2 linked regions of the Drosophila melanogaster genome follow. Changing the gene in region 2 together with the main gene of any one other region gives a genetic interaction. Each region holds a gene or a part of one and is shown on either strand. Other genes may lie near its edges.

What was found. Genes that interact genetically often act in the same process or in processes that back each other up.
Region 1: of Rab35 (region 2) and wkd, changing one suppresses a phenotype caused by changing the other (phenotypic suppression), as found in Drosophila melanogaster (one study listed by BioGRID).

The regions. Positions count from the first base shown.
Region 1 is NT_033777.3:11,579,654-11,585,818, reverse strand, and holds wkd (whacked), read right to left. Parts: upstream 4,244-6,165; 5' UTR 3,980-4,243; intron 2,893-3,979; exon of another isoform or gene 2,835-2,892; intron 2,777-2,834; exon of another isoform or gene 2,506-2,776; 5' UTR 2,470-2,505; coding exon 2,263-2,469; intron 2,119-2,262; coding exon 1,754-2,118; intron 1,696-1,753; coding exon 1,176-1,695; 3' UTR 514-1,175; downstream 1-513. Other genes in the region: CG5342 (uncharacterized protein), read right to left, coding at 4,383-6,148. UniProt on the Drosophila melanogaster protein: Essential for ensuring the polarized growth of tracheal seamless tubes.
Region 2 is NC_004354.4:20,155,263-20,161,468, reverse strand, and holds Rab35 (Rab35), read left to right. Parts: upstream 1-1,596; 5' UTR 1,597-2,521; coding exon 2,522-2,573; intron 2,574-2,940; exon of another isoform or gene 2,941-3,111; coding exon of another isoform or gene 3,112-3,130; intron 3,131-3,199; coding exon 3,200-3,499; intron 3,500-3,632; coding exon 3,633-3,886; 3' UTR 3,887-5,703; downstream 5,704-6,206. Other genes in the region: Phf7 (PHD finger protein 7), read left to right, coding at 1-551; aspr (asperous), read right to left, coding at 6,161-6,206.

The DNA.
Region 1 (6,165 bases), on a different chromosome or scaffold from region 2:
AAAGTATATTTCACTTTTAAATTCCGTGTTCGTTTTTTATTTTAATAGTTCTGCGAATCGAACATAGATTACGTTTTGCCACTAAGCTAGCCCGTTTTTATGACCCAAGTCGAAATAACCTAATCCACTTCCACAACACCTGTGTACTTCCAGTGGCAGACGGATTCAGATATTCAAGAGATTAATTAGAGTATTCGTATAGTTTACCCATAGACACCGCCTAATTCTGATTACGGACTTTTAGCTGTAGGCTACTCTTTAATTGCTAGTATTAAGAATCCAAGCTATTTATTTTCGATATAATCTCAATGAACGGTAACTGATATTATCAAAATTATAATTATATTTTCAGCACCACTGCTTCGACTAATAAGAAATTGGTCTCGAAAAAGTTGGTCTATGCACGTGAGCGTTTATGCGCTGTTTGATTAATGTTAATAAATAAAACATTTAAAATTCTAAATTAACTCTCTGGAATGCTTTTACTTATACAACAACAAAAAACAAATGTTTCGGTATATTTTGTTTTATTAGTATTCAAGTTTTATATTATTTTTGCCTTAGACCAGTCACAAAACTGATCTCCAAACTTTTCAGGCTCGGGGGCACAACAGAAGTCGTTCGTAACGCATTATCGTAGGTAAATATCAACATTCTCGTCTCAGAGTTAATACGGATAAAGTAGTCAAAGTTTCAAACTATATAATCCTCCAGTCCTTGTGTCAGCTGCCTCAGGGTGGTAATCATCATGATAATCATACGATATGTTCGGGGTCCTCAACTCAAAGCTAACGCTACGGTTTTAAATGTTACGCGATAATAATAAATATGTAATAAATACTTTTGAAAAGCATAAACAAATTGCACACTCGTAATAATTGCCACTAAATGAATAATACGAAAACAAATACCGATACAAGTCCAGCCCGGAATGGGCTCAACAAAAGAATGGTCTTAAAATTAGCAAACTGATTGCATGGAATGATGTCTCCGTAATTGACTGACCAACTGACTGAACCAGTTTTGGGGTCACTCGCATCAACTCGCTTCCACTTTGTGCACGACCTGCCTCCTATGCGACTTTAAACGTACAAATCTTATGCAACTATGCATGGTGTGTGTTGTTTGTGTGTTTAGTAACAATTTGTTGAAGTAGTAGTAGTAGTTGCGGTTCCTCACAGCGTTGGCATGTTGCGCCGATGTCCGTTGCCGGAACCGCTGGACTCCGCCTCCTGCTGTGCCTTCTGTTTGGCACGGCGAGCCTTTTGGCGTGTGTGCTCGATCTGGAAGTCCTCTACGCGCAGATTCAGTCGCATCATATTGTTGATGATGAACTCCTCCTCCACGATATGCTCCTCGGGTGAACGCAGCACTGCCAACGTCTCGCAGAGACCAGTACACGTCTTTCGCACCTTGTGTCGGCTTAGTGAAGCCCCAATAATGACCAGAGCCACCTTGAAGATCACGCGGATGCCTTCGGCTAGAAAGCAATCCCATACTCGCAGCAGTGTCTCCCAGGGCAGAGTCCGCGTCATCGCGCACAGGAACCAGTCGGTCATGTAGAGCAGCGGCTCCACTTTGTGCTTCTGCAGGTGCCGGTACACGGGCGGGCATGTCTTCTTCAGCAGACCCTCCAGGATGCCAGCATCGTTCTGGATCACCTCCAAACCGGGTATGAAATAGTCCTGCAGGTATCTATAGAAATACACACGTTAAATAGAAGTGCGCAAATATGACTTTTAGGTGGACTTACACATCGCACACGCTGACAAACACCCAGAAGGCGTCCTCCGCGGGCAGGTGCATCAATAGGAACGCTGCTATCGGTGCTTGCGCCTGGCAGAAGCCCACCTTGGGATTGTATATCGAGTAGGCCTTTAGCACATTAAAGAGCTCGATTTGTCCGACCTTCTGCTCGTCGAGAAACATTTCATGGAACGGGAACTGGCGATGCTTATCCTTCTTGATCTCTTCGATGGTCGTCGGGTTACCGGGCTTTTCCAGAAGCTCGTTGTAAACGTTGGGGTTCTTCTTCTTTAGCAGATACGCCCCCGATAAATAGAACCAGGCCTTGGGTCGCACCGACTTGGGTATGCCCTTGCGACAGCGATCTCGGATCTGCATGATAGAACTAAACATTAGGTTTTGTAAAGATTGTTGTCGAATTCTCATACTAATAGGAATACTATGAGCTTCTTTTAGATTTTGTTCGCACAAAAGTGAGATCACCACTCTTTAAACAATCATTAAATTCAATATTACCTTTTTGTAGTTTTTTGACATGTAAATGGACCAGTTGTCGATCATGTAGAGCCACTTCTTCTCCCGCGCGATGATCTGTGCCTTGGACAGCGGCTCCTTTGGCTTGTCTGTGCGCTGGAAACCGCCATAGAAGCCATTTCGGTCCGGGCAGCTGGAAACGGTCGAGCAGAGGGAGATGGTATCCAGGGATCGCGGTGCCGTGGCCATCGCCAACGCCAGCTTTCCGGCTGCAACTACCTTGAACTGAAAGCAGATTTCGTTACACGATCGGCATGTACGCCCACTAACAGCAACCACTAATTGTGAATGCAAATTTCCTGATACAGCTACGTAGATATAAATATCTGGGCGAGAGCCTCTCTGTGCTTGAATAACAACAAGTGCGCAATTAAGCGGACTAATGCTCTCCTTCGCGCTGGGAGGAAATCGTAATTGTGATGCTGGCTCCACATTATTTTCGGCAATCTCCAACCGTTATCGCTATCAGTACTTGGTTGGTTAACATAAATTTGGGCTATTTCGAGGTGATAACTATTAATTGATTATGAAATATGATGGGCTCATGGTCACACCTCATCTTCGTGGAGCAGTTCCAGTCGGCTCAGACTGCAGCCCAGCGGCGAAAGATACAGAAAAGGCATTGTCCACCAACTGAGCGGAAATCTAAATAGTTCACTCTGCAATATTTAAGCCAAGAGCGCCGTAAACAGCTGTTGATTGGTCCCTAATCGGACCGCTGGAAGGCGGTAATTACTCATCCACAGCAGATGCCTCCAAACGGAATGGGACAGTGAAAGTACGAGTATTTCTATATTCACGCGATTCTTCCATGCCTAATGACAGTGGGGCACGGGCTGTCGGCGGTGGCACTTCCACTTCCCCATGCAGCGCCGGATGCTCGAGTTTGGCCTAATGAACAACTCACTTCAACACAGCGGCCGCCACAAAAACAATAACTAATTGAGGCAACTGTGTCTGCGCCAGAACAAGTGGCTAAATAATTGCAACCGCCAGACGAAAGAAGCCAGAAAGAAGGGCTATTAATTTGTAGAAACGAGATTTTTGATACCCAGTACTTTTCAGAATTTGTCGAAGATCATATGCTTTTACAAACTATTAAAGCCTTTTAAACATTTTTAAGACTGAATAGTTTAGCTCGTTTGAATTTGCATTCGAAGTAACTGATCAGTGTCTGTTATAATTTCAATCCCGTGTTGAGTTCCGAAACATCATACCCTCTCTAAGAAAGGGTGGCAAATCAGCGAATGGGGGAAATCTCAATGCAAACGCACTACACGAACACAAATGCAATCTAGCAAAGGCTGCAAGATAGCCGACAAAATGCGACCTTGGAGGCCTACGGATCGCGGAACGGGGAAACGGAACGAAACTAAACGAGAACCCTTATCGAGTCGCGGGTGATATAAAGCAAGATCGCATACATATCTCGGCAGCGGCGCGTCACTTCAGTGGGTGGGCGGGCGTTTGGGGTAGGGGGCGGTTGGCGCGTTGGAGACCCAACTATTTGGGCCCATTCATTTCTTAACTTAACTGACATTTGGCTGCCATTTTGCCTATGCGCTCCAAAATGAGTAAACCAGTGCCTAAGTGTGGGTGCGTATGTATGTGTGAACAATACGGGGCAATTGTTGTTATTAACAGCTAACCGTTGCCACACCGCCCGCCCCCACATTCACATGTAAACTTTTTGCCTCACCTTTTGCTATGCTCTTCTCGTTGTTGTTGTTGCTGCTGCTCTGCTGGTATTGTTGCTGCCGTGGAATGCGCAATAGGCGATATTAAGGTTTAAGGCGATTTTGGGTTTATTTGTCGTTTGGATTTTCCAGCCCACACTTGCGCCAGCACAAATGTGTTGGATTTTAAGGTGAAAACATTATTTCCGCAGAGCTTTTTGTTTATTTTCTATGCAAAATAAGGGAGAGCGAGATTGGCGATGGCAACGAAGCGACTACTGTGCGATAGTCGCTGAAGTTATCGATACTTTGTAGAGCAAAAACCAGGTGGCAACGTTCAAGTTTACGCTTTTTTTGTAAAGGCTGCCAGAGTTTTAAATAGTTTTATGGCGCCTTCTTCGCTTTATTAAAACAATTTCAGTGACCTTACAGTAATTCATTCGGGAGCTGGGACATCCACTTGGAGCCCACTTTAAGCTGTGTCAATCGCCACAGTAGCAGCCAGACAAGTGGAAACACATGGACTACCGCAAACTCAGCGAATCTGCTGAGGATATCCCGCCAAGGACCAACATTTGTAATCCCATGCAAAAGCACCAGCGACATGGCACTATTCATAAGCAATAGTCTCACAAAGATTTGCTGTTCGTATGAGGCCAGACTCTTGTAGTTTCCCGCCATGATGCAAAGCACAAGCAGCCAGGGAAGGATTAGCTTCAGCACCATAACCAGGCCGTAAGTGAGAGGTGAGTATCCAAAACATGTCTCGTGCAAGATATCCAGGAAGTCATCGAAGGCCGGGAAGCTGCCAATGATGAAAAGGGAGTACCAGCTGTACACTAGTATGTAGTGGGCGGCTGTCTTTGGACCAATGCTTTCATTTCTCTTCAGTTTCATCCGCAAGGCCAGCTGTAACTCCATGGCCAGCATTTGGATGACCACCGATTCATAAGAGGTGCAGGTGAGGGTGTATAGTGTGCTCAGGTCGAAGAAGAACACCTCGCTGGCCTGCAGATTGCGACGCTGCCAAAGGACAAGAAATCCCAAATAGATCCAGGATACCAAGTACATGATCCACGGATGCCAGCCGATCAGGATGTACTCCAAGGCAGCAAGGAGAACCGGTATATTACTCAGCCATGTGAGAAGGTTAAGGTACACGCCACAGGCCAAAGGACGCAGTACAGTAAGAAAGATACTAAACATGAGGGCTCCGGGCTGGGAACAGCCCAGCGATTCCGGAAGAGCCGACACAACGGTGAGTCCAAGGAGCAGTAGTAGCCACAGGTAGAACTGGTGTCCCCTTCTCTTGAAGGCTTCCCTGTTGTTATAGGAAGCAAATCCCAAGTAGCCCACTGCCAGGATGTAGCGTCGGAAGAAGCCACCGAAACAGATTAATGCCAGTAAGGCGGTGGACATCAAACTCTTACGGCATACCATTTTTGGTCTCTCTCCCAAAATTTTAAGCGTCGTCCTCCAGTACAGTGAGGGTATGAGTAGGATCGCCTGTACCACCAGAGGAATCCTTTCGAGCATCATAATAATCACGAGCACACCTGTCAGCAATCGATGAAATCCTCGGGCATACACCAAACGCTTGGAGGAGATTACCTCCTGGATTTCTATTAGATTTCTGCACTTTTTACCAACTGTTAGATGACAGCGCAGGCAATATATCCAAGCGATTCCAGCAAAACTCACTGCCGTAATCGAGACATGTCTATAGTAATCCTTAAAATAGTCCATTCCCTTGATCAGCACGGGCATGTAATTGCAGCTATAATCCAAGAGAGCCCTGAAACGTCGCTGCTTCTTGAGGGCCAAAGACTCCTTTACAAAGTTGTCCATCATCTGAAAGCTTAGCCAGAAGGCGGGCATCCTTTTGGGATGGAGTTCCCTCAGCCGGCGAGCCTGTGCCAGGAGCTGCTTGGCATTAATCAGCATGGCGTTGGCCTCGTAGCGCAAACTGGCGTTGAGCATTCCCTTGGGCAGCATTCCGCGGCTATAGACCGGTGGTGGGACTCCTAGAAGGGCACTCATCAAGGCTGTCAGGTGAGGAGTATTAAGGACATGCAAGGGCAGCCTTAATCCCGCCTCGTTCGCCATAAAGCTGCGCCCGGGCATGGATTTAATGTGATTCACTCCAGATCCCCAAAGAAAAAACGGGGATTCAACTGCCAGACTGTACTCGCCTGAGAACAGGACACTT
Region 2 (6,206 bases):
GTCGCGTGGTGACCCTCTCCGATGATCAACCATCTACTTCTGCGGGGGCACGCGCTTTAGCCGATCGTGGAACTCGCACATTTGAATCACAGGGAACGCAAACAACATTTCTCTCAAGTGTAGTAACCTCGTTTCGCTCTGCTACTGCAACTGCGACATCATCCACATCCACATCCACATCCACATCCGCATCGACACTTGATAACCAAGAAAACACTGAGCCGTCCACATCGAATGGACGTCGTCCCTGGCGCCCTAGATACGTCTCGCCGCCTAGACACGTGTCGGATAGCGATGACGATAGTGATGAATATGATAGTGATGAATATGAGTCGAAGAGGCGCCAACTTACGCCCACTGCCGCTGCGCCGTCGAATGGCAGGCGTCTGTTGGGCTCCATCTCGCCGGAGCCGAGCACTCCTGCTCCACGTGTCTTACGTCGCCGCACTTTGGCCAACAGGCCTTCCTCACTCGCCAACATGGATATATCCTGTGTGGCCAATAGGACCCGCCACCGCTTGTCCAACCACATGGCCAGCCGCAAGGATTAGGAGAACAGATGACATTACAATAGATCACACTCGCACAAATCCATGTACACGGCAAGATCAATATGGATATATCCTGAGTGGGCAGGATACCCGCAGGGACTAGGAGAACAGATGACAACATCACGATACATAACACTTGCACATTCCATTAACCATCACATCGACTAGGTTGTGGACCAAATGCGTGCGTTTGGTTCGCACCCGTTATTCTCTATTTTCCGCCTTTTGTACATATAAAATTCCATTAAAATCCTGTTCTCCTAGCGGTATTCGCTAATAAGATGCATTTACCATTTATTTGCTTTGTTAAGTAAGCTAAGTAAGTGCTCCTTTCCACACGTATAAATAACTTGTATACATATTTACTTTAAGTAGCTGTAGACATTATTTTCCCCATCTGACTTTCTTTTCAGCAGCTCGCAGTGCCTACATTATTTCAATTACTCTAAGCATTACATTTTTTTGACTAGCGATCTAAGAATCCCTGAATCCAGTATCTGTATCAAGAATCCCAGTATCTGAACGCTAAAATGAAATAAATAAAATTAAAATATTTGAAAAATAAGTTAGAATGATTTTATTTGGATGTTGAAAAAACTTCTCAAAAGTTGTAAACTACGAATACTCACTTTCATTAAGAGTATAGCGTTTTGCTTCTAGTTAATACCCGCTACAAATCGGTATGAAAGTATATAATATTTAGTTTTTTTTTTGGTATTAATATAATATGGGCTTTATAAGTGATTATTTGAAGATTTTTTAAAAATCGCGCCATTCATAATAAATAAGTGCTGGATATGGCCAAAAGTTTATGCACAGGTGGCAACGTTAGCAACCCGCTAAACGGCAACACTTGCGATAATGTTCTCTAAATATATCGATACATATTGATATTAAAAAAAATTGCCAGTATTAATTTATTAAACTAATTTAATTTTTTGAGTGGGCACATTGCATATTTAGTTACAGAAAAATTCGACTTTATGCTCCGGCTAAATGAATCGATGTTTGTGGGGTACTATCTATCCTAAACTATCGATAGCATAAACATCGCATTTGGTTCCGTCTCTAGTGTGGGTGCGTTAGCAATAGTTTATCCAGAATATGAATTAACCAGAATTAATCCGCAACGCCGACGCCCACAAATTCCCACAAATCGTCGTCCTTTCAGCGCTGCAAGAGCAACCCGGAAGCTGGAAAGTTCGAGACCGCCGAGAAGCCCAATATAAATTCAACAGTCAGCCAGAGCTTCACTCCTGTGTGTGTGTGCGTGCGTGCGTATGTGTTCGTGTGTTGTGTCTGTGCTACAGTGTTGGAGAGAGCGAGACGCACGATTGCGAGGGAGTCGAGCTTTGCGAAAATTTGCCAGCCTATATTGAAATATTTTCGGCACCAAATCGCCGTCTTATCCGCCAGCAAGCCATTGGATCTGATGGAAATGAGCCTGCCGCTCGATTTCTCTTCGCAAATCCGCTGTTAAAGCAAAAGCAACAATTGTACCAGTGGAGCCAAAAAAAGAGAAACACACCTACCTAATCAAAGGAAATTAAATAACAAGGCGGCGGCAACAACACTTACATAAATTAACTCGCAACGCAACAACACTAATAACTATAGCTTATCACACAGCAACAAAAACATCAGCAACAGCAGCAAAAACAACAACAACAACAGACCAGCAGCCAGAAAGAACAACAGCTTATCTCAGATATTCAGCCGGCTGCACCAGTGCGAGCGAGAGGGTCGTAGCTTGGGGCGAAAGAGAGGGCGCTTCCGAGAGAGTGCGAAAGAGAGAGAGAGAGAGAGTAAGCGCAGGGAGTGTGCTCCTGTGTGTGTGAGTGTGGGAGCAGGCAGCAGAAAAAAAGAAAACAAAAGTATATTTTGCATTGTTCGACGCGCCTAACTGTAAATATAAAAGCACTTGCAAAAACAAGGAAAAACACAGAAAAACAGCGAAAAAACGTCGAAAAATGGCACGCGGCTTCGATCATCTATTCAAGTTGCTAATAATCGGCGATAGCGGTGAGTTTCCCAGGCATTCCCGTTTCCCACAGACCAGGTGCTTAAAAATAGCATCGAGTTGAAAATAGCAGGTGTAAATTGCAATTTGTCCCCGTTTCCTGGCCAAAAACGCAGTTGTCTCCACCTCCCTTTCGCATTACTGCATCTGATTACCATTAATGTATGTTACATTTAAAATGCTAACGCCAACATGGCGTATGAGTAATGTTGTTTTCAGTTTCCATAATACTTTCAACATTCGTCAGCTTCTTGTTTCTATACTCAATGTTTTTGGCATACTCAACATGTGTTAGGTTGTACTAATTTTATATATTTAATCATAAATGCAAAAGCACTTTATATCAGTCCTGTCCTCCTCCTAACGTAGCTATCTACATATTCATTTGGGCGTATTTCGAGAAAGGTGGTCTGGCTCGGGCAAAACCAGGCTCATGACTAATGGTGACGCACTGGCAGGATATACAGCTTGATATGCGAGCAGACCAGCTGCGGCGGTAACCGGAGCAGGAGAACACTCCCCGCTCCACAGCAATGTCATATGCCGAATGGGCTTACTTGTGTGTAGTAACGATATCACATTTTTGTAATACGAATCCCATTCCATCTTTCCATCTGATCCCCTGCAGGCGTGGGCAAGTCGTCGCTGCTCATCCGGTTCTCGGACGACACATTCTCAGGCAGTTACATCACCACCATCGGCGTGGACTTTAAGATCCGCACCGTGGACATCGAGGGCATGCGCGTAAAGCTGCAGATCTGGGACACGGCCGGGCAGGAGCGCTTCCGGACAATCACCAGCACCTACTACCGCGGCACCCACGGCGTCATTGTCGTCTACGACGTCACGAACGGCGAATCCTTTGCGAACGTCCGCCGCTGGCTGGAGGAGATCCAGAATAACTGCGATGTGGTTAAAAAAGTATTAGGTGAGCCTATATCGTATTACGCACAGAATTGGTTGACCCGTACTGAGAAGTAGTTGTTGGCTATGCCAAGCGGAGCTTAATTAGTAGACAACTTACATTATCGATATAGACTCATGTTTCGATTCCTCAACAGTGGGCAACAAGAACGACGATCCGGACAGGAAGGTGGTCATTACCGAAGACGCGCAGCGGTTTGCGAAACAAATGGACATCGAGCTATTCGAGACATCTGCCAAAGACAACATAAACGTGGAGAACATGTTCTTGTCGATTACGCGACAGGTGCTCGATCACAAGCTGCGCACCTCCCCCAACGAGCAGCAGAAGGACACGCTCCATCTGAAGCCCAATCCCAAGGGCAGCAAGGGTGGGAAGTGCTGCAGGTGAAAGCGGCTCCGGCACGGGAGCTGGCATTGCAACTGGACCGACGGCGACGGCGGCGGCGGCGGCGGCGGCGGGACGGGAATTGGAACTGAAATTAGGACCAGGACCTGGATCAACTTCGGGGGCGGACGGAATCGTTGTGGGGGCGCGTAGTTTGTAGGGTTCTTGGCTTACGATTCGACACAGACACTCACTCACATAGACATAGCTAACACCACCAAACAACCAACAACAAGAAACCACACAAAGCAAACAACACGAGACAACTGAACAACACTCACACCCACTAGAGACAACAATTTTTTTTGTTTTGTTTTTTTTTTTCCTCCTCAGTTTTATTCGGAATAATGCCAGATAGCCGTAAATTAAAGTGTAAAAGTGTAAAGCGCAATTAAATGTATTTAGCAATTTATATACATATTAATATATACATACATAAACAAAATTGAAACAAATTGCATATTTATATACAAGAATATATTTATATTTCAAACGGAAAATTGTATTTACAATAACAAGAGCGACCGCAGGAAAAGGCACGAGGACGCAAACGCCTCGCTCGCTAGCTAAGCTACGAAACACATTTATAGAAATATATAAATATATATACATAGATATACATATGTGGGGAGATCAAATTATTGGCTTCCGATCGCGACTCTCCACTTTTAATACTCCCATAGTTTAAAATTTAAAAACGAAAGCTCTGATCTGCCGACTATCAATCGCGAAAGACACGTTTTGAATGAATCTGAAATTTTATTTGCTTGGAGTGATGCTTTTAAACATTTCGTTGCTCTCGGAAACTGCCTTACTTGTTAAGATTTCATTTGATATTATTGCCGCCATTCCGTGATTGATTTAACTGGATAAACTAAAGAACTTCAGGGACTGTTTCCAATTCTTTTGGATGTGCTTGCTTAAAATGAAAAACCTGAAACTGTCAGCCAATATGATTTCCAATGCAAATTTTCTGAAGAGAAATAGTTGTAGGTAATGTTTGTATCTATTCGAAAACCGGGGAACCAATACTCCAATTCTCTGATATTATATACATACATTACATATGTACCCTCAGAAAGAATAAAGATTGATCTTTGGAAAAACACGATTACTTGCGCTCGGACTGTAATTCAAAACCATGTTTTTAATCCATAGCTATGTTGAATATGTCCAAAATGTAGCCACTTTTCATTTAAGTCCTTAGGCATTGCTGATTTAAAATTAAATAAGATATGATTGGCAATCAACATTTTGTGGCATTCTTTTATGCCACAAATGCATTTAATACATCGCTACATTTGTATTGTATCTAAGTTAAAAACGCACCAAATCGCACTGCAAGCACGTTCGTTATTTTTGGTAAACTTTCCCGATTTTACAATTTTTGTTAGCTTCTAAAAGTAGTTGCATACTCTTCGGCGACTCTATGAAACGAGTGAATAACGTAGTAACGAAGCGCACTAGAATTTATATTTATATGTTCACAATGTACATATGGGTTCGCTTTGTGGTAACCATATTTATTCTGCTTAAAAAACCATTCGATTCATAGATTTATTTTAAATACCACAATAATCGATTTCGGTTCCAGTATATATTTATTTATATGTAAACCTTGAGCTATACCCAAAATTCAAAGACTATGTTATTGCGTTTGAATACCAAAATGAATTACCTAGTTGTGGTTTGGGCTGAAAAAAGCTTTCAGAAAGTGAGGCAAACTCATAGTTAAATACTATTCTCGAATATGAAACCTATATTTCATACCAACCAAAAGAAAACTATATATTTATATAAATGTATATATATATCTATATATATAGATGTATATATTTATCGATCAAAATAAAGAAGGCAATTTGATTTTCTAAAATGTTTGGTCTTTTGCATTTAGCCGTTAAGATTTTGGGTTGGATTTCGGTACTAAGACAATCAGTAATATAATCTTTATATCTTTAAAATGGAATTTTTTCCCTTCTGCAGTATTTGAAAACAATTTGTTTAACTTTTTTATGATGTATTCAGTTGTTTGTGACTTTACGGATCCCAGAAAAATAGCACATTGTTTATGATTATTATTTACTTGTATTATTTATTGTTTTTCAACGCATTTTTTATCGCTTCTGTTGGGGAGAGCACGAGGTTAGGGCAACGACTAGTACGGGAAGTGGGCAGATGCGGATTGGTGCGGATTGGGATGGGGATTGGCTGGGCGGATGGTGACTGGTTTGGCAGGCAGTGCGGCTCCGGGACTATACGACTCCCCATCCCGCCTCAGTGGTACTTGGCCACGGGAAAGGTGCGCGTCTGGCGACAGGAC